Linked DNA regions of Cricetulus griseus. The protein of the gene in region 1 interacts with the protein of each later gene in a pairwise test. Links are inferred from orthologs where the notes say so. Each region holds a gene or a part of one and is shown in the gene's direction. Other genes may lie near its edges. The genes, in order: Krt15, Txlnb, Rad51d, KAT8 regulatory NSL complex subunit 1, Kiaa1217, Noc4l and Ccnb1ip1.

The links.
Region 2: the proteins of Krt15 (region 1) and Txlnb interact in binary tests that used the Homo sapiens proteins (3 or more experiments, as listed by UniProt). The two-hybrid records come from large-scale screens. The link is inferred for Cricetulus griseus from reciprocal best matches to the Homo sapiens genes KRT15 and TXLNB.
Region 3: the proteins of Krt15 (region 1) and Rad51d interact in binary tests that used the Homo sapiens proteins (3 or more experiments, as listed by UniProt). The two-hybrid records come from large-scale screens. The link is inferred for Cricetulus griseus from reciprocal best matches to the Homo sapiens genes KRT15 and RAD51D.
Region 4: the proteins of Krt15 (region 1) and KAT8 regulatory NSL complex subunit 1 interact in binary tests that used the Homo sapiens proteins (3 or more experiments, as listed by UniProt). The two-hybrid records come from large-scale screens. The link is inferred for Cricetulus griseus from reciprocal best matches to the Homo sapiens genes KRT15 and KANSL1.
Region 5: the proteins of Krt15 (region 1) and Kiaa1217 interact in binary tests that used the Homo sapiens proteins (3 or more experiments, as listed by UniProt). The two-hybrid records come from large-scale screens. The link is inferred for Cricetulus griseus from reciprocal best matches to the Homo sapiens genes KRT15 and KIAA1217.
Region 6: the proteins of Krt15 (region 1) and Noc4l interact in binary tests that used the Homo sapiens proteins (3 or more experiments, as listed by UniProt). The two-hybrid records come from large-scale screens. The link is inferred for Cricetulus griseus from reciprocal best matches to the Homo sapiens genes KRT15 and NOC4L.
Region 7: the proteins of Krt15 (region 1) and Ccnb1ip1 interact in binary tests that used the Homo sapiens proteins (3 or more experiments, as listed by UniProt). The two-hybrid records come from large-scale screens. The link is inferred for Cricetulus griseus from reciprocal best matches to the Homo sapiens genes KRT15 and CCNB1IP1.

The regions. Positions count from the first base shown.
Region 1 is NC_048600.1:112,452,179-112,456,297, forward strand, and holds the start of Krt15 (keratin, type I cytoskeletal 15), read left to right. Parts: upstream 1-1,319; coding exon 1,320-1,808; intron 1,809-2,669; coding exon 2,670-2,752; intron 2,753-2,870; coding exon 2,871-3,027; intron 3,028-3,432; coding exon 3,433-3,594; intron 3,595-3,693; coding exon 3,694-3,819; intron 3,820-3,977; coding exon 3,978-4,119.
Region 2 is NC_048595.1:271,868,300-271,871,799, reverse strand, and holds part of Txlnb (beta-taxilin), read left to right. Parts: intron 1-2,554; coding exon 2,555-2,725; intron 2,726-3,500. UniProt on the Homo sapiens protein: Promotes motor nerve regeneration. May be involved in intracellular vesicle traffic.
Region 3 is NC_048600.1:96,308,849-96,312,825, reverse strand, and holds the start of Rad51d (DNA repair protein RAD51 homolog 4), read left to right. Parts: upstream 1-1,177; 5' UTR 1,178-1,367; coding exon 1,368-1,449; intron 1,450-1,765; coding exon 1,766-1,827; intron 1,828-2,003; coding exon 2,004-2,122; intron 2,123-3,977. UniProt on the Homo sapiens protein: Involved in the homologous recombination repair (HRR) pathway of double-stranded DNA breaks arising during DNA replication or induced by DNA-damaging agents. Bind to single-stranded DNA (ssDNA) and has DNA-dependent ATPase activity.
Region 4 is NC_048600.1:117,493,648-117,497,584, reverse strand, and holds the start of KAT8 regulatory NSL complex subunit 1, read left to right. Parts: upstream 1-1,137; 5' UTR 1,138-1,253; intron 1,254-3,937. UniProt on the Homo sapiens protein: Non-catalytic component of the NSL histone acetyltransferase complex, a multiprotein complex that mediates histone H4 acetylation at 'Lys-5'- and 'Lys-8' (H4K5ac and H4K8ac) at transcription start sites and promotes transcription initiation.
Region 5 is NC_048596.1:212,852,205-212,855,704, reverse strand, and holds the end of Kiaa1217 (sickle tail protein homolog), read left to right. Parts: coding exon 1-342; intron 343-824; coding exon 825-947; intron 948-1,637; coding exon 1,638-2,135; 3' UTR 2,136-3,281; downstream 3,282-3,500. UniProt on the Homo sapiens protein: Required for normal development of intervertebral disks.
Region 6 is NC_048597.1:90,432,644-90,436,889, reverse strand, and holds the start of Noc4l (nucleolar complex protein 4 homolog), read left to right. Parts: upstream 1-1,446; 5' UTR 1,447-1,500; coding exon 1,501-1,617; intron 1,618-1,699; coding exon 1,700-1,820; intron 1,821-2,285; coding exon 2,286-2,392; intron 2,393-3,182; coding exon 3,183-3,290; intron 3,291-3,735; coding exon 3,736-3,885; intron 3,886-3,970; coding exon 3,971-4,070; intron 4,071-4,237; coding exon 4,238-4,246. Other genes in the region: ATP-dependent RNA helicase DDX51, read right to left, coding at 179-329, 844-983, 1,078-1,366.
Region 7 is NW_023276807.1:206,448,730-206,452,883, reverse strand, and holds the start of Ccnb1ip1 (E3 ubiquitin-protein ligase CCNB1IP1), read left to right. Parts: upstream 1-1,354; coding exon 1,355-1,651; intron 1,652-2,143; coding exon 2,144-2,477; intron 2,478-4,154. UniProt on the Homo sapiens protein: Ubiquitin E3 ligase that acts as a limiting factor for crossing-over during meiosis: required during zygonema to limit the colocalization of RNF212 with MutS-gamma-associated recombination sites and thereby establish early differentiation of crossover and non-crossover sites.

The DNA.
Region 1 (4,119 bases):
CACAGGCCCAAGGAACGCTGGAGCCCTATTCACTTTCTCGTATTGTAGCTCTCCATTAGAAGCCCTCCTGTGGATTCTCTCCAGTCTGGGTGGCACTGCCCACAGTGCCATTGTCTTAGAGAAATAGGGCTGTTAGAGCTGGTGGCAGAAGACCCTGTCCTTTTTGGCCTCAGTATTGCAGTGACTGATTCCTTGGCCTCTGAGCTCTGATGTGTTCCACCTGCTTGCCAGCCCCCCTTCCTGCCTCCGCCTTCCTCCCTGTACTTAGGCACGCAGAGCAGAGCCTCTAGCTCAGCCCCTCCCCAGCTGGCAGCAGCTGACAAGGCAAATGGGGGTTAATCTGGCCCCTGCTAAGCAGCGACATGTCTCTTGCTGAAGAAGGCGGGGGACTTTCTGGAACTCGCCTGGGTCTTATCTGCAGAGGTTTGCCCCAACGCGTCTTGGGAGCAAGCAGAGGTTCAGTGACATGTGCAGTTGGCTGGTGACAGGACCATCAATCAGACTCCTGTCAGCCTGAGCCTTCTGGGCTTTTGTGAACTAGCCAGGACCCTGGGCTGGGGGGGGAACTGAAGAGGTAGGAGGGACTTCTGGAATTGGGGTGGTGGGAGGGCTGTGAGAGGAGAGAGCATGCCCAGGTATCAGGGATGGGAGAGAGGGACAGGCACCGGCTTTTTTGGTCAACTCGTTTGGAAGTTGACTTGAGACCCTATTAGCCTGCACTGTGGTCACCTGTGTTCTCATTCCCGGGGACTTCCATGTCCCGAAGGCTATGTATAGGGCGTTTGAGTAGGTAGTACAGAGCAGTGGTGGGAGAAACTGAAAGCAGGAAGCTTTCTACCTGGGGTGAGGCTCACATGCCAGCAGTGGGCTGGGGTGGGAGGCAGAGCTGGCCTGGCTGCTCTAACGGGATGGGACATGAGGGAACTTGGGTGCTATGCTGAGGGTTTGCTCTTGTGGCTCTCTTCTCCTTCCTGGAGTGAGAAATGAACCTGTAATCCAAGTGTTAAAACCATGGCCTAGAGCAAAACCCCATTAATTCTGAATCATCTCTCTTGTTGCATTAAGAAAAAAAAAAAAGAAAAGAAAAACTCACCACAAGCGAGCCCTGTGGAGGTGTGCAGGCAGCTGTATTTGTCTGGAAGGCAGAGGAGTTGGCTCCACTCAGGGGGAGGAGGCAAGGCCCCCACCCCCTTGAAACAGTATATAAGGAATCCCAGGCTAGGGGCGACAGCACTGCAGCCTGGTTTCAGCCCAGCTCAGAAGCTCCTGCTAGAGTCCCTCCTGCTTGAAAAGGACACGAAGGCTCAGGCTGCCTGACCATGGCCACCACATTCTTGCAAACTTCTTCCACCTTTGGAGGTGGCTCTACCCGAGGGGGTTCCCTCCGTGCTGGTGGAGGCGGCTTTGGTGGAGGGAGTCTCTACGGGGGAGGTGGGAGCCGAAGCATCTCTGCTTCTTCTGCTAGGTTCGTCTCCTCGGGGGCAGGAGGGGGATATGGGGGCGGTATGAGTTGTGGTTTTGGTGGTGGTGCTGGTAGCGGTTTTGGTGGAGCCTTTGGTGGGGGTTTTGGTGGTGGCTTTGGTGACTTTGGTGGTGGCGATGGAGGTCTCCTCTCTGGCAATGAGAAGATCACCATGCAGAACCTCAATGACCGCCTGGCCTCCTACCTGGACAAAGTACGTGCCCTGGAGCAGGCTAACACGGAGCTGGAGGTGAAAATCCGAGACTGGTACCAGAAGCAGAGCCCAGCCAGTCCGGAGCGAGACTACAGCCATTACTTTAAGACCATGGAAGAGATCCGGGACAAAGTAAGTCCTCATATATATGTCAGACAGAGGGAAACAGGCAGTAGGTGCCCTGTACACATATGCAACAGCAACATTGCTGTTGACTAAGAGAGTCCTTCCCTGCTGTGTAACCTGGCAAGGCTGGGATGCACCTGCTTCCCAGGCACATGTGGGAACACACGTGTTCCACTTGGCAGTGCTGGGGGAGGGGAGGGAGTGGTCTTGGGAATCTGATTTGGATACACAGGATTGCAAATGAGGGCAACAAAAGAGAGCAGCTCCTTCTCCCTGCCTCACAAAAACTTTCAGGGATTTTTGCAACTGATTGCTTTAACTTTGTGACCCGTGTGCTGTTCAGGCACAACCTCAAGAGTCCTAAATGCCAGGGCTGTTTACTTCAGGCCTCAAGGATGTCTTTATTGTTGATCATTGCTAGATCTTAGGAGACCAGGGAACTCAGTGGAGGCTGTGCCACCCCCTCACTTTCCCTTTTAACTAACTGGATCTGTTTTCCTTAGTGGCAAACACGTTCCTTAGCTGCTGTCCAAGTTCCCAATGACTGCAATGTTTTGGAGATGAAGGGCTCTGTCAAGGCACGCAGGAGGCAGCCACTGTGAGCTGTGCCCAAGTAGGCTGGTATAGTGTGTCTCCCGAGAGTCCTGACCTGACAGAGCCAACTGTATCCATTGCAGCACGGTCTTGACTAGCCATGCCCCCAGGCAATCCCAGGCAATACTGCCTCGTTAGTTTTCCATTCCTTGAAGATGCCACAGGGAAGGGAGCATGGGCCAGCACAACTGATGCACACAGGAAGAGAAGCTGGGCAGTAGTTGGCGAAGGGGGTCGTGCAGCAGCCCTAAGGTACAACTCTGTCTCCTGCAGATACTGGCGGCCACCATTGACAACTCGCGTGTCATCTTGGAGATTGACAATGCCAGGCTGGCAGCGGATGACTTCAGGCTCAAGTGTGTTCCCATTTCTCCACCCCTGTCCATTTCACCCCCTCTACCTAGCCTTCCTCCTCTATGACTCAGAACCTGGGCCCCTCACCTTTCCTGACTTTGGCTCCTCTCCCCTCCCCAGGTATGAGAACGAGCTGGCCCTGCGCCAGAGTGTGGAGGCCGACATCAACGGGCTGCGCAGGGTGCTAGACGAGCTGACCCTGGCCAGGACCGACCTGGAGATGCAGATTGAGCACTTGAATGAGGAGCTGGCCTACCTGAAGAAGAATCACGAGGAGGTAACAGCAAGACAGGGTGGTAGGAAGAAGCCCAGGACAGCCAGTCTTTTGTCACAGTCCTCTGAGGGCTTGGGGATTAAGAAATGTACCTGGGGGGCCCCATGGAAGAGAAGGGGCACTAATCTCTGGTAATCTGGACCCAAGGCCAAGCCATGTGTGAACTGCAGAATTGGTTTGCTTCATGGGCTTATTATCTCAAGGTCCTTGTTTCTTAGGACCCAGAGCAAGAGAGATCCTCAGAACTGAGGGGTCCATGTGTTCCAATGGGGAATAGAGATAGGGTGGTGTGATGTGCTAAGGTCACATTGTGAGTTAGAGACAGTCAGAGTTAGCCCTCAGGACTCTCGATTCTTTGTCTGCTTTATAGCCTTGTCTCTAAATGGTTGTCACTCCCACCCCTTGCAGGAGATGAAAGAGTTCAGCAGTCAGCTGGCGGGCCAGGTCAATGTGGAGATGGACGCTGCACCTGGGGTGGACTTGACCCGCATGCTGGCCGAGATGAGGGAACAATATGAGGCCATTGCGGAGAAAAACCGTCGGGATGCAGAGGCCTGGTTCTTCAGTAAGGTGGGCCTGACACCCCCAGCTCTGCTCTCTCCCTCCTTCCCACTCCAGAGGCCTCTGAGGAGGCCCATGAGGCTCATGTTTCTCATGTGTGACTTGCAGACGGAAGAGCTGAACAAGGAGGTAGCTTCCAACACAGAAATGATCCAGTCCAGCAAGACGGAGATCACAGACCTGAGGCGCACCATGCAGGGGCTGGAGATCGAGCTGCAGTCCCAGCTCAGCATGGTACGGTCACTCTCTCCCTACTGGGTGACACATGGCCAGTAAAGCCTCACCTCACACATTCCTGTCACCTCAGGCAGTCCTTACCACCCTTCCTGCTCTTCTCCCTCCAGTGGGTTGCCTTCTAGCCCAATGGGTTTATGCATCTGTCACCCCACCAGAAAGCCGGGCTGGAGAACTCTCTGGCAGAGGTGGAGTGCCGCTATGCCACACAGCTGCAGCAGATCCAGGGGCTTATTAGCAGCCTGGAGAGCCAGCTGAGCGAGCTCCGCTGTGAGATGGAAGCTCAGAACCAGGAATATA
Region 2 (3,500 bases), on another chromosome or scaffold:
AATTACATTTCCTTTTCAGGGAAAAAAATCATGAAAAATTTTAATGATCTGAATGGAGATAAAAGTTCTTTTATCTCCATGTAAGTAATTATTTCCTTGCTCATTAATTAGGATATTAATATAGAAAATGTCTGAAATATAATGGTTAATATGGAGTAAACTGTCAACTCTAATTCTTTAAATCAAACTGTCACTATAGCTCACTCATGCTTACAGAGCCTGAAGCCTGTAATATTATCTGCCATTGTGTTCATCAATAAATAAGGACTTGTTCATTAATAAGTAAGGAAGCTTCATGACTACATTCAGAAATGGCCTTAGAAAAACATTTTCTGGAAATTTCTTCAACTTCTATATACTTAAAAAGAATCATTAATACAATTCTAATTTAGTCATTGGCACTGATTTGCTTTTATTTTTTTTTAACTTAATGAAGAAGAAAGAACAGAAATTTCAGATAAATACCTGTTACAAATTTCCAGAACCGTGCCTACATGAATCATTTAACCTCACAGCCAGATCTGGGCTGAGGGTGACTTGGTTGTAATATGTTCACATTAATTCATTAAACCCCCCCATTCAGACACAAACACCAAAGTCTGAACTATTTGAAAAGAAAAAAATCATCCAAACATTAAAAAATGTAGGAAGTCCAGAGTAGTTCATTTTAAACCTAAGGAAAATAGATCTGGCTAAATTTTTAATGTGCATGATCTTATAACACAGCCAAAGATTAAATATGGCAAAGCAGGAATCATCTGTCTTCCACCTTCTAAAGCACATAAAGTATATATTTGTTTCAGGGAACACAAAGAAAGCTTTGGTCTTGTCTACCAAGGAGCTATAAATGTCTCTTATTGGAGATATTTCTGCATGTCACAATTAGATATGTTACTGTCACACAGTAGATAGAGGGGCCCAGGTTGATGGGCACATAACAGCCCATAATACAGAGGATTCTGCACAATACAAACTTTTGTCTATTCTGTCAACAGTGATGAACTTGCAAAGTTTTGACATATAGCTTAACCCTCAAAACTGAAGTCTAATCTATAATGACACAATACATCAATTTCAAGGAAGAAAAATCTTGCTCTAATCATAGGAAATTAATGTGCATGATTTTATAACACAGCCAAAGATTAAATATCACTATGGTACAAAACAAAAGGACCACATTTATCTTATAAACATAAGTTTGGCATGTAGGATCACTGGCTTTTCAAGAAGGGAATCAAGGCCAATCATTATTCCTAGTAGCATGGTTCTCTTTTTCCAATGTTAATTTTTAAAAAGTAGAAATTGCATATGGGTATAACTTAGAATATCAAATGTGCATATTCTTGGTTTAATCTGAGTAGGATTTTTAATAGTTATTCAACATGGTAGAACTAAAAATAAAGTAAGAATTGAAGGAAGTGTGACAATCTTCAAATAGTTCAGGGGGAAGAAAAAAATTTTAAAACAGGGAAACTAAAATGTGGTCAAGATCCACAAGGGATGTACATCCATTTCCATTAGGGTCTATGAGGCTCCAGGAATACCTGGCATCTAGAAGTACCCAATGGCTTCCCAGGAATTTTCCTTGCTCCTAGCCAATATGGTTACTGATAGAACCAGTCCCTTCCTGGCTTAGGCAACACCCAGGCCCTAAAGAAACCAAGTCCAGTAGAGTGAACAATTCTAGACCAAAGTCTGCTGCTTGCATGTGGCCACATGGATGTTCTATTTCCTTAGGTATCTTGTATCATATCTGGCAAGCCTACACTCATATTTTAGTATCTGAACATGGACAGTATGGGAATAAACTTCACCTGGATCACCAGAAACAAGGGTCATGATGTCTTTACTGTAGTCATAGAGAGGCTGAGGACAAAGTTGGGCAGCAGGGAATGTTATCAATATCTGCCTTTTGCCCACTGTGTTGTGTGTGTTTGGGTGTTATGATTTCGCTTGCTTTCCCATACCCAAAGAGTCCACATCTAAAACCCCAAATTATAAAGAGGATAACTGCACTTTATGTTACCAGGAGGCTGTTTTTTCTCTTTCCTATTTTTAAAACTGTCACCACTGGTTTATTTTCAGATGGAGTTATGAGAGTGAAATGTGAGCCAAGCAAACAAAATTGCTAGCCATGGTCTGAATACAAGATACTGCCATGAACAGACACACAGTTACAAGTGTGTCTTTCTTTTTAGGGTAGCACCAGATGACATCATGAGACAGAAACAAGAAAAATATTTCTAGATATCCAAAAAAAAATCAGAGAAGAGGCTAATAGAAGTAATAGTTATGTGAAAATCATATATACATATTATGTACATACACATTATATATACATATTTATGGAGCATATACATATTATGTTCTACAAATTATACCTACACATTATACAGGAGTGGGACTTGTGAAACTTATGAGCTGTCAGAGAAGCAGATAATGATGAAAAATAGTTTTAAACAACCACACAGAATGTCCTTAGGCTTTGCTTCTTCTCTGTGAGCTGCAAAGACACCCCTGCCGATTTCTTTGCTGCTTGAATCCCCATGTCTAGCTGGATGAGCATCGAGCTGAGCAAAAGAAACTAAAACTCCTACGGAAGCAGCAGGCACAGATCCAGAGAGAGAAGGACCAGCTTCAGAGTGAACACAACCGAGCCATCCTCGCTCGAAGCAAACTTGAGAGTCTGTGTCGGGAGCTGCAGAGGCACAACAAGACACTGAAGGTATGTGGCACGTTGGAATGACACATTTCTTAGCTGTTGCATAGACACAGGCCTCTGTTACCTGGAAAAGCATGAGTTACAACCAGAGGACTTACAGTCAAATACTGGCTCTGCTACTTGCTCATTTGTGATCTTCAAGTTTTTACCTTTGTGAATGGTTCCTCCATCATCTGATTGTGTGGTCAGAAGGGGAAAGCTAAATGATATTCCATTTGCAAGGTGCTTACATATAACAACAGCTGCAGGCCCAGAGTGAAATAAATGCCATGCCTCTTTCTTGCTTGCTAGGTGGAGTTTTTTGTTTGTTTATTTTGATTGGTTGTTTAGATGGTCCTTCATTTACTATCTAATTGTTTTTATTTTTACTTTATACGATTGGGTGTTTTTCCAGCATGTATGTCTGTGCATCACATGTGTCCCTAGTGGCCAAGGAAGCCAGAAGAAGGCATAGGAACTATTGTTATAGACAGTTGAGCTCTGCTGTGTGGGTGCTGGAACTAAACCCAGGTCCTCTGAGAAAGTAGCCAACACTCAACCTCTAAACCATCTCTCCATCCCTTAGATTGCACTTTAAAAATTTGTAAAAATTCAGCATTTATTTTAATTTAATGAATTCTGCATGACAAGGCATAGACACAAAGCTAATTGACATGCAAAAGTGAGACAGAGAGCCAAAAATATCAATAATTGTCTGAGAAAAGAAGCTACTTAGAAAAACACCGGAGAGCTCTTTCAGTCTTAATTACTCAATTTAAAAATAATAGACTGATCACTT
Region 3 (3,977 bases), about 16 Mb from region 1:
TATTTCTAAAAATGGGCCAGACTTCTCTGCTATGGAGAGAGCACAAGGTAGAAAGCGAACCCACATCTTCCGGGGAGGGGAGAAAACAAGTTCAGAAACACTGGCTTTGCAGTTGGATGTGGGCTTGAGATTCAATTCTGTGCTTGCTAGCTGCGTAACTCGGAGAATAAATGTCTTCCTGAGTCACAACTCAACTACAAAATACAGAGAGAAACAGAACCTCACTCAAAGGTTTGTGACACTGCTTTATTTCTCCCACTGGATGTGGTAAAGAACATTTCAAAATAGTAAACTGTGTTTCACATGTTCTAAATACTCAAGCATTGACTCCCACTAAAATCTTTGGAAAATGCCTGGTGGTGATGGTGTACATCCTCATTCAAAACACTCAGGAGGTGGCCAGCCTGGTCTATACAGTAAGTAGCAAGACAGCTAGAGACGCACAGAGAAATCATGTCTCAGAAAAGAAAAACCTTCAGAAAATATGGGGCTAGAGAAGTAGATGCTGAGTTATGAACGCTGGTCCTCTAGAACAACCAGTGCTCCTAACTGCTAAGCCACTTCTCTAGCCCCCATCTGTAACAAGTCCAAGGGAATCTGACCCCCCTCTTTGGCCTCCTCAGGCACCAGTCACGTAAGGGGTGCACAGACATCCATGCAGGCAAAACATTTATATGCATAAGATAAAACTTAAAACACTTTTTTTTTTTTTGGAAAATACAGGGGTGCAGGTGTGAACTTCACTGGATCATACAATCTGTAATGGTGTGAACTGATTGCTCCTTATTGTCTGTTTCCCTAACGTGAATGCTACTAGAAGGCGGGTATGCTTCACTCAGTAAGTAGGGTGTGAATGTCCCTAGCGTTGGGAATGGAGGCTAGTACACAAGGGACTCGGGGGGGGGGGGCAGGGGGAGAGGAGAGGGAGAGAGGAGGAGAGAGGAGATAGAGAGAGGGAGGAGAGGGAGAGAGAGGACAGAGAAGAGAGAGGGAGAGAGAAGAGAGGAAAGAGAAAGAGAGGAGAGAGGCAGAAAGAGGGGGAGGGAGGGAGGGAGTAGCTGAGACTGGCAGGTGGTTGGCCCTAGCCTGAAGGCCGCCGCGTTTGCCCGCTTGGTCAGCAGATGGCGCTACAGGCCTGGGCCACAAAAGCCGCTCCAGTTGCGGAACCCGGAAGCGTCCGCCGGGAGGGGGCGGGTCCAGGGCTCTGGAGTTTGGAAGGGCTGGTGTCCCTCACCCCGATCTGCATCCTCTTCCCGCCCCCTTCCCGCGCTGGCGTGCCGAGACTCTTTCCAGAAGTGGGACCTAGTGGGGGGTCTCGGCGGGCGCCCATGTGACAGCCCCCGGGGCGCCCCGGGTTTGCAGGAAACATGGGCGTGCTCAGGGTGGGGCTGTGCCCGGGCCTCACCGAAGAGATCGTCCAGCTTCTGAAGGGCCAAAGGATCAAGACAGGTGACCTCCTGGGCTCGTGACACATAACATGGGCACGACCGCGGGGGTCGGCGCCATGGTGTTGGCACACGTGCGGGGCGTTTCAATCTAACCGGAGGCCACAATTTGACCTCAGTATGGGGTTCTCAGGAGTCAAGACGGAGACAGAGGACTCGACTGTGTGCTGGGCTCCTCTCCGGGTCCTGCATCAGGGCCTGCGTGCTTGAGATGGGGAGTAGACTAAGACCTTAACGCCATTTCCCAACAGAGGAAAAGGCAAGCGTGGCAAAACTAAAGCATTCCTGTTGTTAATAGGTTGCTCTTGGTCTCTTTCCAGTGGCGGACCTGGCAGCTGCTAACCTGGAGGAGGTAGCCCAGAAGTGTGGCTTGTCCTACAAGGTGAGCTTACCATGTGCAAACTCCATCCCAATGTCTCTTCTAGAGCGGGTCCCCATGCTGCAGAATCAGAGTTCCCGGAAGTTGCTAAGGGGCACTAGACCTAGATTGCTCTGCGGGACAAGCTGGTCACTGGCAGTCTGGGTGCTCTGGAGACTGTGTGTCCGTACTTTTGGCAGGCCCTGGTTGCCCTGAGGAGGGTATTGCTGGCGCAGTTCTCGGCTTTCCCATTAAACGGAGCAGACCTATATGAGGAACTGAAGACTTCCACTGCCATCCTGTCCACAGGCATTGGAAGGTTTGTATGTTTACCTGGGCAAGAACTTGAAAGCCGAGCTTCCCATGCGGAGACTACAAAGGGCAGGACCGGTGAGGGCAGTCTGGATATGTCAGGGAACCTAGAGGCATCTGAACTCCTGAGATTTTTTTTTTTCCCCTTAGAGTATAAAGACAGGGGTTCTTAGCCTCAGCACTATTGAGACTTAGGGAGCAAGTAATCATTTGCTAGGGTAGGGGTATCCTGTGCATTGAGAGACGTTTAGCAGTAACCCTGGGCTCTACCCATCAGATACCAGGTCATTTCTTCTGCCCTGAGTTGTAACAATCAAAAATGTCTCCAGATATGACTCAGTATCACCTAGGAGACATCATTTCCCACTGAAGAGCCATTGTCCTGTAACACATGATGTCACTAATGCCCCATTTTTTATAATTTATTTTTTAAGTTTCATTTTACATTCCAACCTCAGTTCTCCCTCTCATCCCCCCTAATATCCCAGTTTTCAGTAGAGTCTCTGATACTTCAGGATAAGGTAAGTGAGACCAGGACAGGATTGAGATTTCCTGGGAGTCTGCACCTAAAGTCTGACCCTAGGGCAGTGGTTCTCAACCTTCCTAATGCTGTGACCCTTTAATACAGTTCCTCATGTTGTGGAGACCCCCAACCATAGAATTATTTTTGTTGCTACTTCATAACTATAAGTTTGCCATTGTTACAAATTGTAATGTAAATATCTGATATGTGACCCCTGTGAAAGGATTGTTCAATTTCCCAGGAGGGTCAGGACCCACTACCATAGACTCTAGATGTTAGAGATTTTTTTTCCAAAGATTTTATTTATTATGTATACAATATTCTGCTTCCATGTATATCTGCACACCAGAAGAGGGCACCAGATCTCATAACGGATGGTTGTGAGCCACCATGTGGTTGCTGGGAATTGAACTCAGGACCTCTGGAAGAGCAGCTGGTACTCTTAACCTCTGAGCCATCTCTCCAGCCCCGATGTTAGAGATTGTTGACCTCCTTTGTGGTTAGCCTAAGAGGAGGGGTCGGCAGAAGTGAGCCCAGGGAAATATAACCCAGAGCCTTATGCCTTTGCCGTAGGAGGCAGCAGCCAGGAACATGTACACTCACTGAAAAGAGCAGTTATATTGTGCCCTGTTGTTCGGGTTGGGAAAGAATTGGAAGACAGCTGGCATTTTCTGGCCAAGTAAGCCTGACCTCTCTTCTGGCCTGTTTGTGCGGAGTTTGATGAATAACACTGCTATCACAAAGGTCTTTGGATTGGTCTGGCCCTTGCTGTTTCCACAACACACTCTTGGCAAGGTCCGCACAGTCTGGTGCTTGCTTCCACTGTTTGGGGGGTCTGTGTTTGTAATCCATCAAACATTGGCTGAGTGCCTACTGGGTGCCAGACACATGCAGATACTATCTGTACGAGTGAGGCAAGGCTCCCACTCTTAAGTATGGTGGTTAGTGTATATGGGAGACTTGTGGGTGCGGCAAGGAGGCACATTGGCTTTGGAGCCCAGGGAACTTATAAAACCAGCATCCACAGAAGGAACAGTGAGAAGGTACACTGGCAGGATTGCAGCTGCAGTATTCATGGGTGGGGGTGGGGGCTCAGGGTGGGACAGGTAGCCTTGGCATAGGCAGAGCTGGCCCTGAGTGCTCACCTTGACTCTGACACTGTGCTCAGCATTTCATGGCATGCATTTCATTTGTCCTTCATAACCCCTAATGTGAGTTCACTGCCCTTGAAATCATCTATGTATGTGTACATGAAGGAATAGGGACTTAGGTTCAGGCACCGGCATAAGATCCTGCAGCTACTAGGTTAGATGGTAGATAGATTGGGCACTGGAGGTCA
Region 4 (3,937 bases), about 5.0 Mb from region 1:
CCACCCCAGTGCTTTATTTTATTTTTAAAACGGGGGACCTCGACTCTGAATTTAAGAAATTATTTTTTTAAAGAGGTGAGTGTGTTATTTTTGTGTTCCTACGCGGGCAAGCCTCCATTTTAAGTGAAGCAGTAACTGGTTAAGCTGGAATGTTCATTCAGGCCTAGGACTTAAGGCTCCTACAAGGAAGGGGTCATTTAGTCCATCCTTTTGCGTCCCTACACACTTAGCACCCACCATCTTCAAAATTAATTCCTCTGGGCTGCTTTTAAAGATCTCTGGGAAAGAAGGATCTTTTCTCCCCCCCTCCATTTTTTTTTTTTAACTTGTAGTACTTCAGTGAAGAATAGCAACAATTATTATAATGATGATGATGTAGAATCAGCTCTGAAACTTTATTTATTTATTTATTTATTTATTTATTTATTTATTTATTTTGGTTTTTTGAGACAGGGTTTCTCTGTGGCTTTGGATCCTGTCCTGAAACTTGTAGCTCTTGTAGACCAGGCTGGTCTCGAACTCACAGAGATCCGCCTGCCTCTGCCTCCTCAGTGCTGGGATTAAAGGCGTGCACCACCAACGCCCGGCTGAAACTTAATTTTAAGAAAAGTTAGGACATTGGAGTTGCCAGAGAGGTTTACATTTATTAAATAAAAGTAGCTGTAGACTTTTTTTTTCCGGTGACGAGTTAATAAATCACTTTCAGTAGTGCTTATGAAATAATACTCTGGGAGAATGGGAGAATAACTTTTCCTCCTGGATTTTGGTTTTCTGAATCTTTAATAAGTAATTTTTGATTATTTAAAATTTATGGTCTCTGATGTAAAATATACATGTGAAATTCCCTTTCCAAAGAGAATTGTATATTGTACCTTTTGTTGTTGTTTTTGTGTTTGATACCATCTCAACAAGTAGCCTTGCCTGACCCTGAACTCACTAAGTATACCAGGCCAGTGTTGAACTCCTAGATGACAGCCTGCCTCAGCCTCCTCTGAGTGCTGGGATTAAAAGTGTGTGCCACACCTGCACACTTTCTAGGATGGTAAGGCAGTTGGCACTTAGCATCCTTCCCAGATAGAATAAGCTATTTGCATATTCTAGATTATTGTCATCTAAATGAAACATCCTCCTTTTCAGATCTTGCCACTTTTATCCGTGGTAACTGAGGGGATTTCTTAGTCTCTCCCTGCTTCTTTCTGAGGCTCATCTGAACTATTCCTGACACTATGAATGCTATTTGGATGCCTCTTAAGGTAAGATGTATTGGTTTTTCCTTATTACTTCATATGAGTGTTTTAGAACCAAGAATATTTGTTTGCTATTTGTGTTTTGAGACAGGGTCTCATGGTAGCCCAGGCTGCCTTGAACTTTTTAGATTGCTAAGCATGCCTTTAACTTCATGAACTTCCTGTCTCAACATTCCAAATGCTAGGATGTTCTTGAATTTACAACTCTTCAATTACCTTACAGGATACTTATCCTGAGGACTATTAGCTTCTTAGGATTTGTATTATTGCTGTTCTTGATTGGTGTTAAAATATTAATGAAGTTCTCAAATTAACTTTTATTATAATGATGAGTTCATTTTTTAAAATAATTTATTTAACTTTATTTTATGTGCATTGGTGTGGAGGTATCTGGAACTGGAGTTACAGACAGTTGTGAGCTACCATGTGGGTGCTGGGAATTGAACCTGGGTCCTCTGGAAGAGTAGCCAGAGCTCTTAACCACTGAGCCATCTCTCCAGCCCCAGAGTTCATTTTTTTTTTTTTTTTTTTAAACCTTAAATTATTACAGCTTGCATACTAGTAAAATTCTGTTCCAAACCTGGCTTATGGGGTTGGCAATTCAGACTTTGAGGTCCATTTTCAAACAGGTACTTACTTTAGAGTCATATGAACTTGGGTGTGTCCCACTTTTGCAAATCAGAGCTGATTCATGTGTTACAAAAGATGTGTCATTAACCATTTGTTTACTCTGAAGTTTCATATAGTATATTAAGGTTTATGTGTACAACTCTTCATCTGCTGCTCCTTAGGCCAGTTCATGAACCCTTACACTAATTTTTTTCAACAGGTAGCCATTGTGTCCTTTCATTTCAAGGGCAATGTGGGACAGTGACCATTTGTCTCTTATGGTTCTTTCTGATCTGTTCGGAGATGGCAGAAGAACTCTTGGTTAGGGCTAAGCAGAAGACTGAGCTTAAGGCTTGAAAGTGAGGAAGTGAGAGGGAGGACCAAGAACTGATAAGTAGTGCTAGAAGTCCTCTGTCAGCCTCGCCTTCCTTGAGAGTTAGATAATGATATAGTTAAGATTGTTTTGATCTGCTCCATGTAATTCCAGAATAGTATAGTGGGTAAATCAGAATAATGCAGTCTGTGTAACCTAAATATTTGGACTTTTGGGAAATCTTTAGGTAATGTAGACTGGATCTTATCCTCACTTTTGTTCTGGCTGCTCTTGTTGGATGAGTGCATATATTAATATAAAGGGGTCCAAAGTGACTCATTCTTTGCAGTCTTTTCCCCATGGTACAGCTGGAGGGATTGAATGGGGAAACAGTCTGAAGAATCGATTGCCTAGGAACTGGAGGACCTTGTATAATTGTGTTTTCATTTCCTTTTTTAAAAAAATACATTTATTTTTATTTATGTGTGTTGGTTTTTTGCCTGCATGTATATCTGTGTCACAGTGTCAGAACTCCTGGAACTGGAGTTGACAGACAGTGGTAAGCTGCCATGTGGGTGCTGGGATTGAACCCTGGGTCCTATTAGTTAGTATTCTTAACTGCTGAGCCATCAGGACTTGCTGACTTCTATGACCAGTATATTAGATTTCATGTTTCAGCTTCCTTGGTTTTAAGGTATTAAATATATTGAGGCCTACTTTTTAAAGATGTGTGAAGTGTTTAAGGTTTTACCTCTAATGGTAAACCTGGGGAATTACCAGAGTCCTTTGACTTGTCGGAAATACAGTCAGTGTCCTATAGTAAGTATGAATTATTATCTCTTAACTACTCGAGAATGTAATTATGTGGCTGCCTTAGTTTTATGTTTCCTACCAATCCTTTGATCGGTGTAAAACTGTGCTAAGTTTAAGCTTTGTTGTTTTGAGATAGAATCTTGCTATATGGTCTAGACTGGCCTAGTACTCTAATGACTCTGCCTCCCAAGTGCTGAGATTTCAGGCATAAGCCATAAACAGTTTTTTTTTTTTCTTCACATTTTCTACCTTTATTTTTTTTTTTTTAGAAATCAGTTTTTTTTTTTTTTAATGTATTTACTTTTTATATGCATTGGTGCTTTGCCTGCAGGTATGCCTGTGTGGGAGTGACAGATCTTGGGAGTTACAAACAGCGTTGAAGTGCATAGGGGTTCTGGGATTTGAACTCCGGTCCTCTCGAAGAGTAGTCAGTGCCTTTGACCGCTGAGCCATCTCTCCAGCCCCTTCCTCCCATTTTTTATACTTAACATTTCAAAATACGTTTAAATTGGCAGAAACAGTACGTTTTTTTCTATATTTTCAAATTAGAGTTTTTTTTATTTTATTAATTAAATTTTTTACTTGTATTTTATGTATGTTGGCGTTTTGCCTGCATGTATGTCTGTGTGAAGGTGTCAGATCCCCTAGAACAGGAGTTACAGACAGGAGTTACAGACAGGTGTGAACTGCCATGTGGTAGGTCCTCTGGAAGAGTAGCCAGTGCTCATAACCACTGAGCTATGTCTCTAGCCCTTTGTTTTTGTTTTTGAAACAGGGTTTCTCTGTGTAGCCTTGACTGTCCTGGATCTCTGTAGATCAGGCTGGCCTCAAACTCACAGAGAACTGTCTGCCTCTGCCTCCCAAGTGCTAGGATTAAAAGCATGCACTGCCACACCACCACCAAGTTATATTTTTAAATAAAAAGAAATGAGACTTTAATTAAAGTGTATACATC
Region 5 (3,500 bases), on another chromosome or scaffold:
GAAATCACCAGGTCACAGCCTGAAGATGCCCTGAAAACCATGGCTAGGAGGCAAGAGCAGCGCAGTCTTGAAGTCACAGCTCCAGCTTCAAGGACCGATGAAATTAGGAAAAATACTTACAGAACGCTGGACAGCCTGGAGCAGACCATAAAGCAACTTGAAAATACAATCAGTGAAATGAGCCCCAGAGCCCTAGTTGATACCCCGTGTTCTTCCAACAGAGATTGTGGTGCAAGCTCGCCCCACATAGCCCAAGAGGTCTCTCCCCGGTCCTTGATAGTTCTGGATGAAGTGTCCCCTGCCCCAGAGCCCCCCACGTCCATATCTTCAGCTTCACGTAAGGTATCTTGGTCTGTGGAAAATGAAAAAACCCAGCTGCTTCTTAAGCCTGTCATAATCACAGTAGCAAAAGGTGTCTTGTGGTTTAATCGCTTCCTTTCAGGTGGCTCGCGTTATTTTTGTCTATTCGTCATGTACCCGTCTCTCCTCCCTTCTCCGTCGCCTTCCAAAAACAACTGGCAACTAGGTGTCTAACAGCTAATCAATTCTGTTTGTGCCTCTGTTGCTGATTGGTGTTGGGTCCATATCAGGAAGCTGGGTCAGCCGTGTGCTGTTGGTACTCACATTAAAATCCAATCGATCGGTAGTGAGCTATTGATTCTGTTTGATTCTTCTGATTAACCCAGTCGGTGTCTCCTGGGTCTGTCCTGCATGTAGGGCGCTAGCTTCTCATTTGGCTTTCTCTGCACACAGTGGGGCAGTGTCAGTAACTATCCACTCACCTTCTTCTCTTGGTCTCTCCTCTCTCGCTGGTCCTTCCACAGGGTTCCAGTACCACACCACAGACAAGCCGGATGCCAGTCCCCATGAGTTCTAAGAACAGACCCGGAAGCCTGGATAAGCCAAGCAAACAATCCAAACTGCAGGATCCCCGCCAATACCGTCAGGTAGTTTTACCTTAAACCAAATTTTGGATGGACACATTGCAATTAAGAAGCCAGTTGCTGACTTAGTTTATACCAAATACTGTGTTTTCTTTGTGCGATATCATTTACGTAGACATCCTGGATCTGGGGGCATGAAGAAAGTCTAAAAAGAACCTGTGTTAAACTTTTCACCACTCTCTTGCATGCTTACAATAAAACATCTTTTCCTTTGTGACTTCAGACCTTAACTGTTAACACATGGTGCCAGGCCAGTGGCGGTTTCTTTGCTGAATGTAGTTCTTCATCAAAACCTCTTGGGAAACAGAGACAAACCAACCTGTCGTTGAACTGCTCTTAAGTCACCACTACTAACATCTGTGTTGACTGCATTGCTTTAAAGTCACACTAACTGTCCCACATTCACACTCCCCCACCCCAGCAACAATCCCCATGCATGGCTGACTGGCACCGTGGATGCCTGTGGAATGTGTGATGTGTGGTCGTCCTCTCTGTCACCTCCGTACCTCCTTTGCTATGTGCATGGGTGGTTTGAGCCGGGTCCAGATAAGCACAAAACTTAGCTCAGGCCGCGGACTGTATGTTGTTTTTCTTTTTCTGAATGATTCTCAAAAGGGCTGTGTTGCCAGGCCCTGTGTGTTGATCGTGTTACCAGCTTTCTGACAGAGTGTCTCCCGCCATCTTTGTTTGCAGGCTAATGGAAGTGCTAAGAAAGCTGGTGGGGATTGTAAGCCTACTTCCCCCTCCTTACCTGCTTCTAAGATTCCAGCCCTTTCTCCCAGCTCTGGCAAAAGCAGTTCTCTACCCTCTGCTAGTGGTGACAGCTCTAACCTCCCCAATGCATCTGCTACTAAACCACCGATTGCTTCTACCCCTCTCAGCCCCCAAGCAGGACGGTCCACTCACTCCACTTCCCTCATCCCCTCTGTCTCTAATGGCTCCTTAAAGTTTCAGAGCCCGCCTCATGCAGGTAAAGGCCATCACCTTTCGTTTGCACTGCAGACTCAAAATGGCCGAGCTGCCCCTACTTCCTCCTCCTCCTCATCCCCTCCCTCTCCTGCCTCCCCCACCTCCCTGAATCAAGGTGCCAGGGGCGTCAGGACCATCCACACTCCTAGCCTCGCCAGCTACAAAGCACAGAATGGAAGTTCAAGCAAAGTCACCCCATCCACAGCAAAGGAAACTTCTTAAAGGCCAGATCCTATTAGGCACAAGGTGGAATCACATTCTTGTTTTTAATTTTCAGCATCTGGAACAACTGTTTTCACAAGAGAATGTACCATAGTGCTGTACTGTTCAAGGCTTCATGCAAAGTATGTGCTAAATACCGAGTTGATAGATTGCAGTCAAGCTTGTTTTTTTCTGCTCTGTTGCTGTTGTAATTACATAGTGTTTACTGTCTAGATTCAATACCTATTAAATGAAGAAAGCATGTGTTATAAAAAAGAGAGAGAGTATGGTGAGAGTGGGGAGACGTGTGAGATGAGCTGTACTACGCATGTAAAACATGTATGATTCCAGAATTTTAGTATGTTTTGTATAAAAATATTTTTCATTACGGAGACTAGAGGTGAACAGAGAGATACACGAGTGTGACTATATAAATTGTAAAGCATATATTATGATATTTTCTTTTATTTTAGTGTTATTTAGCTTTATTACAGATTTCTATTTTTGTCAAAAACGTCATGGTTCCTTTCCAGATCTTTTTTGCCAAAACATTTTGATACTACAGCATTGTACATTTGAAAGTAGCATGCTAGACTCTAAGCCAATGAGCTTCTACACAGCCCGTAGGAAGAAATTCAGCAAAACTCTTGCTCTGCCACCAAAAGTATGGATGATAATTTGCTAGCCCAAGCAGGTTTGTTTTCTTTTTCTTAGCTTTCATTTTGTTTTCTTCTTCCTTTTTTTTTCTTAAAAGAAAAACCATATTAGTATTCTATAGCAGTTTTCTTTGAAGAATGTAAACCCCTTTTTATGTTTTCTTAGACCTGGTAACCCACACGATTACATTGTGGATTTTAAAATGTACACTTCTGTACGGTTCTGTACACTGAGGAACTTTTGTAAATATATAAATATAAATAGACATCAAAATACTGTATGTGACCGCACACAGAGTAGTTTTCCCACACCAAAGTTACTTTTTATGCATGCTCTAAGCGTCTATTGGGATGGGCACAAATGGGATTATCCATACATTTTTAAGAAGCTACAAGTTTGCACAGCTAGAGTGGTTTTGTAAATAACTGTATTTGTATAACACAGCCATGTAACATACAGGACTGTAAGCGGAGACTTGGCAAAACTAAATAAAGGGCTGCATGCTTATTATTTTTTGTACCTTGTCATTGTAACTAACTACTTCCTAGTCAGAGAGCATGTAAGTATTGCCCAGGGTCTCAGCTCTGAGGGCATTCTGAGTAACATGTAGCCATGTCCACTTATACGGCGGTGCGTCTCCGAAAGCTTGAAGTAGCAAAGGATGAGTTCCTAATAAACTAATTGACAGTGTGGTTGTCTGAACTTAATTTCCCGCCTGACTCCTCACTA
Region 6 (4,246 bases), on another chromosome or scaffold:
GACAGCACCAGGACTGGATAAAACCTAAGATAAGCACCAGGAACCTGAGCCCAAGCTCACTGATCTGGCGTGCAATAGGGGCCCCTAAACCACAGTCCTTAAACCGGAGCACTGACTGACAGCCCAGGGAAGGCTGCCTCGAGGAGTTCACCCCAATATCTGCCCCGGGCTGAAGTACCAGGAAAGTAGGACGAGATTCCATTAGCCCTCAGCTGCTTCTGCAAGTCAGGGTGAACCCCAGGGATGTCCTCGATTGGAGTAAGATCCTCGGTGACACTCTTCTTGACACAGCTTGGCTCTGCCAGCCATGTTGGCAGGAAAGGCTGGACCTGAAAGAGGAAAACCACAAGAGTTCTGCAGAGCCCTTCTTGGAGCAACACCAGTCATTAGAAATCAGGAGCTACAGAAAAGACCCTAACAACAGCTTCTGTAGAGGCACCTGGGGAGAGCAAATGCTGGAAACGGAAGGGTATGGGCGCAGGATTTAGAACATATTAGCAGAACAGGTTTCCTCAAGCCACTACTGTTTTAGGACCAGCAAGGGGATCTGACAAAGGGAGCAACACGCACATTGAACAGTCAGCCCTTCCTCAACATCCATCCTTGCAGCCTTTAGACAAGATACCCAGAACAGCAACTGCCCGCCCCTGCACCCAGAAATGTTCTCTGTGGGGGGCTGCCAGGCACACAGTGGGGCTTATCCCAGTATGTCTTACACGACTCTGGATTTCGGATACCCAAAGGAACTCCATAAGCCTCCCGCTATCCTGCAGTTAGGGTCACGCAATGGCAAAAAAAGGAAAAGAAAAAAGACAAAACAAAACCCACAAACACCATACTCACCTTCGGTGTCTTCCTCCTTGCAAAGTTCCCCAGCACCGGGCCCGGAGCCGGGGATCTCGGGGCCTCCTCTGGGGGCCTCTCACCTGAGTCCTCTGAGCCGGTGCTGAGCTCCCCGGGCGTCTCCTCGCCTCTCCCTGAGCCTGAGCGACACAGCACAGCACGGGGAACATCAAGCCCGGAACGCACCCAGGAAGCAGCCTCCACACCCGGTCCACACCTGGACGCACGGCCCACCTGCGTCCACGTTGTTGTCCGCTTTCTGCCGCTTCGCCCTAGGAGCCTCCAGGCTCTGAGCCACCGAGCCGCCAACCCCACGCCGCCTGCGGGGCCGTCGACGCCGCCTGCCCGCCGCTTCCGCGGCCGCCTCGGCAGACTCGGGCTTCGGCTCCCGCTGCTGCCGCTCACGGGCTCGGCTCTGCAGCCGCTCGAGCAGCACTCGCGCCCGGCTTCCCGCCTCGGCCTCTGTATCCCCGAGCCCGGACGCCTCGGGGCCCGGGTACCGGGCTACATGGAAGAGCGCCATGGTCGCCGCACGCTGTCGCTCCTCCTTGGCGCTCCTCGATGACGTAACCAACGTGCCCTAGCATGTGCTGGTGACGTCACGAGCGCGACTAAGCTAGGCGCAGACATCCTTTCCCGGGGGCAGCTACCGGCGGCATGGACCGTCTCCCGGCTTCGGCGGGCTCCCGCGGGGAGCTGGGCCGCCTACTGCAGGCGGTGCTAACGAGCCGTGGCCAGGCTAACGCGGTGTTTGACATCCTGGCGGTGCTTCAAGTGAGTGGCGGGGGCGGCCCTGGGGCGGCAAGTGGAAGTCACAAGCGGGCCCAGCATCACCCTGTCTGGCGTTCCTCCTCAGTCCGAGGACCCGGAGGATATCCAGGAAGGAGTACGCACATGCAGCCGACTCTTCGGTACCTTGCTGGAGCGGGAAGAGCTGTTCGTGGGCTCGCTGCCGCGCGAGGACACGGTCCTGGCAGGTGAGTGACCTGGAGGGTTGGGGTGCTCTCCGCCAGGCCGCCCCAGTGGGACGCCAGATCAACACCAGGAGGAACACCCCAAGCCAGGACCGTGTCATAGACTATGCGGTGTAGGAGGACTCATTCAACACACTCTGGCTCTGCAAGTGAGATCCGTGTACTGGCCAGAGCTACACTGAACTCGTATACTTAGCAGCTTTTTTTTTTTTTCTCCTTTCGTGTTTTAATTGTGCCACTTCCAGAGTTTGGTATTATCACTGCCCTGGTGTTTGGGATATCTAGAGGCAAAGTGAGAGGAACTGTGTTTCAGTCTCTCCCCCCACTTTGCAGAACTCAGAAATGGTCTTTTCCAAGCCCTGGAAGCATGAAGATGGGAGACACTGGGAAGGTGGGGCTGGCTTTAGGACCTTGGTCTGGCTTGGCACATGTAAACATCAGTGGGAGTTAGCTCTCCTCTGCCCTCAGGATCCCAGGAAGCCACACACAAATACAAAGTGTGGATGAGACACCGCTACCACAGCTGTTGTAACCGCCTGGAAGAGCTACTGACCCATCCCTCCTTCCAGGTCAAGGTGAGTTTTGGTGTGTGTGTGTGTGTGTGTGAGAGAGAGAGAGAGAGAGAGAGAGAGAGAGAGAGAGAGAGAGAGAGAGAGACAGGGTTTCTCTGTAGCTTTGGAGGCTGCCCTGGAACTCACTCTGTAGACTAGAGTGCATGAGTACACACTGTAGGCTGGTCTCAAACTCACAGATCCACCTGCCTCTGCCTCCCGAGTGCTGGGATTAAAGGTGTGAACCACCAACACCCGGCCTTCAAGGTGAATCTTGAAGTTGTTAGCCCAGCTTCCCCCCTTACTCTAAAATAGTTCACAAAGCAGAGGTAGGGGCTGCAGACGTGAACATCTCTGTCCTGGACTGAGAGATGCTTTTCTACCGGCATGTCTTCATCACTGCTCTTTGTCTTCCACGCAGTTGTTTCATTGTGGGGTATGTGTGATTCACCTGGTCCTCAAGGCACAGAGTCTGTCACCCAGGTTCTGGGCACCATATCTGCTTTGAGTATTGTATTTGTTATGGTGTCTCCAAAATTGTGTCACAAAAGGGCAGTTAGGTGGCCTTCCCTGCAAGCCCAGCTTGTGTGTACACCTCAGGCCAGATTCTATTGAGTTCTTTCCCAGGATAACAAGAGCATGTCACTGTCACTATCACCACAGGTGTATATATATAACATGGAGCAAGAAAAGATGGGTCTTCCTTTCTCTCCTGCTTTTTGGCTCAGACATAAGCCTGGTTGTGAGTCAAGATAAGCTTTGGGAGGCCTTCTGGAGGGTGGGGACATCATGGTCACTCTTCTCTGCTTTCCAGGAGCTGGCCCTCAAGACACTCATGAAGTTTGTGCAGCTGGAAGGAGCGAAACCCCTTGAGAAACCCCAGTGGGAAAGTCACTACCTCTTCCCTCGTACACTCTTCAGGGTGAGGCCTTGGTGGGACCTGAAGACTGTGGTGGCCATAAGCCTAAGATGGTTCTATGAGTTAGCTGCCTGAACAGCTAGATGGGAATATTATGTTCCTGTTCTGTTCTTGTTTTTGGTGTTTTGTTTTTTTGAGACAGGGTTTCTCTGTGTAGCTTTGGAGCCTGTCCTGGCACTCACTCTGGAGACCAGGCTGGCCTTGAACTCACAAAGATCCGCCTGCCTCTGCCTCCCGAGTGCTGGGATTAAAAGCGTGCGCCACCAACACCTGGCTCCTCTTCTGTCTTGACTTGGGAGCTGAGCAAGGCTTTTTGCTTGCAGGTCTCTGTGAGTTGGAGAGGAAATAGCAGACAGCCTGGTGTGGAGCTTGGTGGGATGGTGATACCCTTTTTGGTCATTCTAGGACCACTGTGTGAGAGAGTCACTCACCTTATCTCTATCCCTAGGCAGTGGTAGGAGGCCTGCTCACACCCGAGGAAGACCACAGCCTGCTTATCTCCCAGTTCTGTGAGTACTTGGAATATGATGACATCCGGTACCACACAATGCAGGTGGCCACAAGCACTGTGGCCCGAACCACCAGCCAGCAACCTGAGGTAAACAGCTGGGTTCCATCACCATTCTGTGTCCTAGTACCTCAGGGAGGCAAGTGGACAGCTGCTCAGGCTAGACTTCCTACAGGTGTCACTCACCTTCTGGAACAATGCCTTCGTGTTGCTATCTGCTGTGAACCTGCCCCTCCAGGAGTGCAACCTCACCAACTTCTATGTGAAGCATGCACGTGAGTTCTGGGCAGGTTAAGGCCAACCGGAGCGCCCCCCCCCCCCCCCCCCCCCCCCGCAAAGCACCCCTTGGAGGTCTCCTCAACACAGTCCAGATCTATCAAGCCCAGCTAGCCACTGGCTTCCCCTCTTGCAAATTGGTGACCCCTTTTTGCTGTTATTACAGAGACATCAG
Region 7 (4,154 bases), on another chromosome or scaffold:
GGAATATGTTTTGTTTTTTGAGACAGGAGTTTGCTGTGTAGCCCAGGCTGGCCTCCAACAAGGAAGGAAAGGTCTACCTCAGCCTCCTAGTGCTGGGATTACAGGTGTGGCCCATAACACTGTTAAGGAACGTGTTTAAGTTGTATGTTGAATGTGCTCCCTTTTCCTTGGTGTATAATTAATTGATTCAGCACTATTATTCAATAGATGACTGTTGATGCTATTGCTTTCTATAGTGGACACTACTGAAAAGTAACAGTCTAGAGAATCAGTTGTAAATGTGTTAAACTATCGCCATATTGATAGATGTATTATTTAACTGATAATAAAACTTAAACATCCCAGCACTCGGGAGGCAGAAGCAGGTGGATCTCTGTGAGTGTCAGGCCAGCCTGGTCTACAGAGTGAGTGTCAGGACAGGCTCCAAAGCTACAGAGAAACCCTGTCTCAAAAATCAAACAAACAAACAAATTTAAACAAGCATTCTAATGTAGATTTTCAGGCTTCATCATAGATGAATTAGCATAGTTCAATAGTTCATATCTAATTTTGTCATGTAGCTAGTCTTTTAAAATCAAAGCAGTTCGGTTAAGGAATATGAGAACTCAAGATGTATTAAAAAAAAAAAAAACTTGAGGGACTGGAGAGATGGCTCAGAGGTTAAGAGCATTGACTGCTTTTCCAGGAGTCTTGAGTTTAATTCCCAGCAACCACATGGTGGCTCACAACCATCTGTAATGAGATCTGGTGCCCTCTTCTGGCCTGCAGGCAGACATGCAGACAGTACACTGTATACATAATAAACAAATAAATCTTAAAAAACAAAACAAAACAAAACTTGAGTGTCACTTATAATTTTTACTGCAGTTATGTGCAGCCTCATTTTTGCCACATATGAGATATACTAGCCCTGACTGTCCTAGAAATCACTGTATAGATCAGGCTGACCTTGAACTTAAAAAGATCTGCCTACTTCTACCTCTGAAATTCTATTAGGCTTTCATGACCATCATCATGCCTGGCCTTAATAGAATGCTTTGTGTTCTGGTGTTGGAAAATGGGGCAGATTTAATTTGTATTTCTTTGTGATGTTTCTAAACATTTGCCATTGTGCACAGTATTCTTGACATCAATAAGAGATGGGACTATCTGTATGTATAACTTAATTCACAGATTTGTATAATGAAAGACCACAGCATTGAGGCTGAAATCAATATAATTTTAATAAATAAAAAAATGTGCTTTTTGTCAAAATAAAAGTACATTTTTTAAAAAAGTCCACATTCATTACAATTTGTCTTACTTATCTTTTCATTTATTCCTTGTTAGGATTCTTCTGCTGGAAACTATTATCATGTCTTTGTATGAAGACATGTTGCTTTGCAACTATCGGAAATGCCGCCTCAAGCTCTCTGGCTATGCTTGGGTTACTGCCTGCTCTCACATCTTCTGTGATCAGCATGGCAGTGGTGAGTTCAGTCGTTCACCAGCTATCTGCCCTGCCTGCAACAGCACCCTTTCTGGAAAGCTAGACATTGTTCGCACAGAGCTCAGTCCATCAGAGGAATATAAAGCTATGGTACTGGCAGGGCTTCGGCCAGAGATTGTATTGGACATCAGCTCCCGGGCATTGGCCTTCTGGACATACCAGGTTAGTGCTTAGGGGCTGGGGAGATGTCCCAGTGGGTAAAGTGCTGTGTAAGCATTCCCTATGTCTGTGACTACTACATGCATAAACCTTCACACACAACTTCAGTTGTATTTCTTAAAAACTTTCAGGATGTATATTACTTGCAGATAAGGCATACTTATTCTGGCGCTGTGATTCTCTGAGCATCCCATTTTCTGTAATCACTGCATTATATGTTGTGATTATGTTTTTTTTTGAGACAGTGGTTTCTCTGTGTAGCCCTTACAGCCTTGGAACTCACTCTGTAGACCAGGCTGGCCTTGAACTCACAAATATTGCTTGCCCCTGCCTTCCAAGTGCTGGGATTTAAGACATGTAACACTACTGCCTGGCGTGATTATATCTTAAACCTGGCTTTAAATACTATGATAAGGACATCCCTGTATAAGCATCCTTTCCAGCTAAGCTTGGATGAGTCTGTAACACTGTGCTGCTTCTCATTTGTTTGGACAGGTACACCAGGAGCGTCTCTATCAAGAATATAATTTCAGCAAAGCCGAGAGCCATCTGAAACAGATGGAAAAGATATATACACAGCAAATACAGAGCAAGGATGTGGAATTGACCTCTATGAAAGGAGAGGTCACTTCTATGAAGAAAGTTCTAGAAGAGTACAAGAAAAAGTTTAGTGATATTTCTGAAAAACTTATGGAGCGCAATCGCCAGTATCAAAAGCTCCAAGGCCTTTATGATAGCCTTAGGCTACGAAATATCACTATTGCTAGCCAAGAAGGTTCCCTGGAACAAGCTACCATTGCACAGTCTGGTGTTTTTGGCTTTCCATTAGGTAAGAAGGAATCTGTTACCCAATACCTAGTTTTTAAATTATGGTTTTTCATACTGTGCTGCATAGTTCTGCACACTCAGAAGGCACTGAGAGTGGCAGGCCATGTTTAAGCTGTGGATTCCTTGTCTTAATCTCAACAACCATTGCTCTCAGTTGTATTTGCATACATTTAAATTATCTTTACTTTTTTTTTCTTTTTTCTTTTTTTTTTTTTTTTTTTTCTTTTTTTTTTTCTTTTTTCTTTTTTTTTTTTTTGAGACAGGGTCTGGAATTCACTGTGTAGACCAGACTGTCCTCAAACTCACATGCCTGCCTCTTGAATTGATTTCCATGGTGTGCCACCATGCCTAGTTTAAATTATTCTCAATTTGAGCAGAATTGATCTCTTCAAAACAAATGTTCAAGTTGTACTCTGCTAGCTATTTAATGGTACTAATTAATGTGAGCTATAACTTTTTCATTAGTGAGTGTTAAGTACTGCTGTTTCATGTTTTCATGTGATTTGAATTGCACAGGCTCTCCTGCATTTGCCAACAAGGCCATTTTAGTTTCTTTCCCATGCCAAGATATATTTTTTCTTTTCCATTTTCTTTTTTTGGTTTTTTGAGACAGGGTTTCTCTGTGGCTTTGGAGGCTGTCCTGGAACTAGTTCTTGTAGACCAGGCTGGCCTCGAACTCATGGGAATCTGTCTGCCTCTGCCTCCTCAGTGCTGGAATTAAAGGTGTGTGCCACCACTGCCTGGCCCCAAGATGTATTTTTATTTCATTATATTTATTTACTTGGTATGTGTGTGTGGCATTATATATGTGCCACAATACACATGGATAGGTCAGAGGACAACTTGCGTTAATCTCCTTGCACCATGTGGGTCCTGGGGATTGAACTCGGGTTGTCAGGGTAGGTAGCAAGCACACTTACTCACTGAGCCACCTTGCTGGCCCAGATTGCACAGTTCTTGTTTCTGCCCTTTGATCATTTAATTGTTTATTCAATCATCACATAATTACCATATATATATTTTAAAGATTTTATTTATTATGTATACAACATTCTGCTTTCATGTATATCTGCACACCAGAAGAGGGCACCAGATCTCATTACAGATGGTTGTGAGCCACCATGTGGTTGCTGGGAATTGAACTCAGGACCTCTGGAAGAGCAGCCAGTGCTCTTAACCTCTGAGCCATCTGTCTAGCCCCCAAATATATTTTAATGTGCCTTTGGGCATGGTTCTAAGTAGTGAGGATGTAATTATTGTCCAACAGGTAATTCAAAGTCCTAGGCTGACTCAGGATCATTGTGATAGGTGGGTGACTCATTCCCAGTTCTTCCCTTTATTACACCAGTGCAACAGAACCCAGTAGTTTTTCCCTCAGTATTAATATAATTGTATAAATTGGCATACAATCATTGAAGTCTCTTGTGATAGACTTTTCCAGGTACTCAAATTTTGGCATTTATTATAGGCTAAGGGAAAAGGTTCAGTGAGAGAAAATGATGTTCTAGAATGGGAATGAGGTGATAAGAACAGGCAAACAAAATGCTATGTGGCTGGGTCTAGTGGTACAAGCCTTTAGTCCTGCCCATGAAAGTCAGGGGCAGGGGCAGGTGCAGGGGCAGGTGCAGAGGCAGAGGCAGGGGTAGGGGCAGATGGATCTCTGAGTTCCAGGACAGCC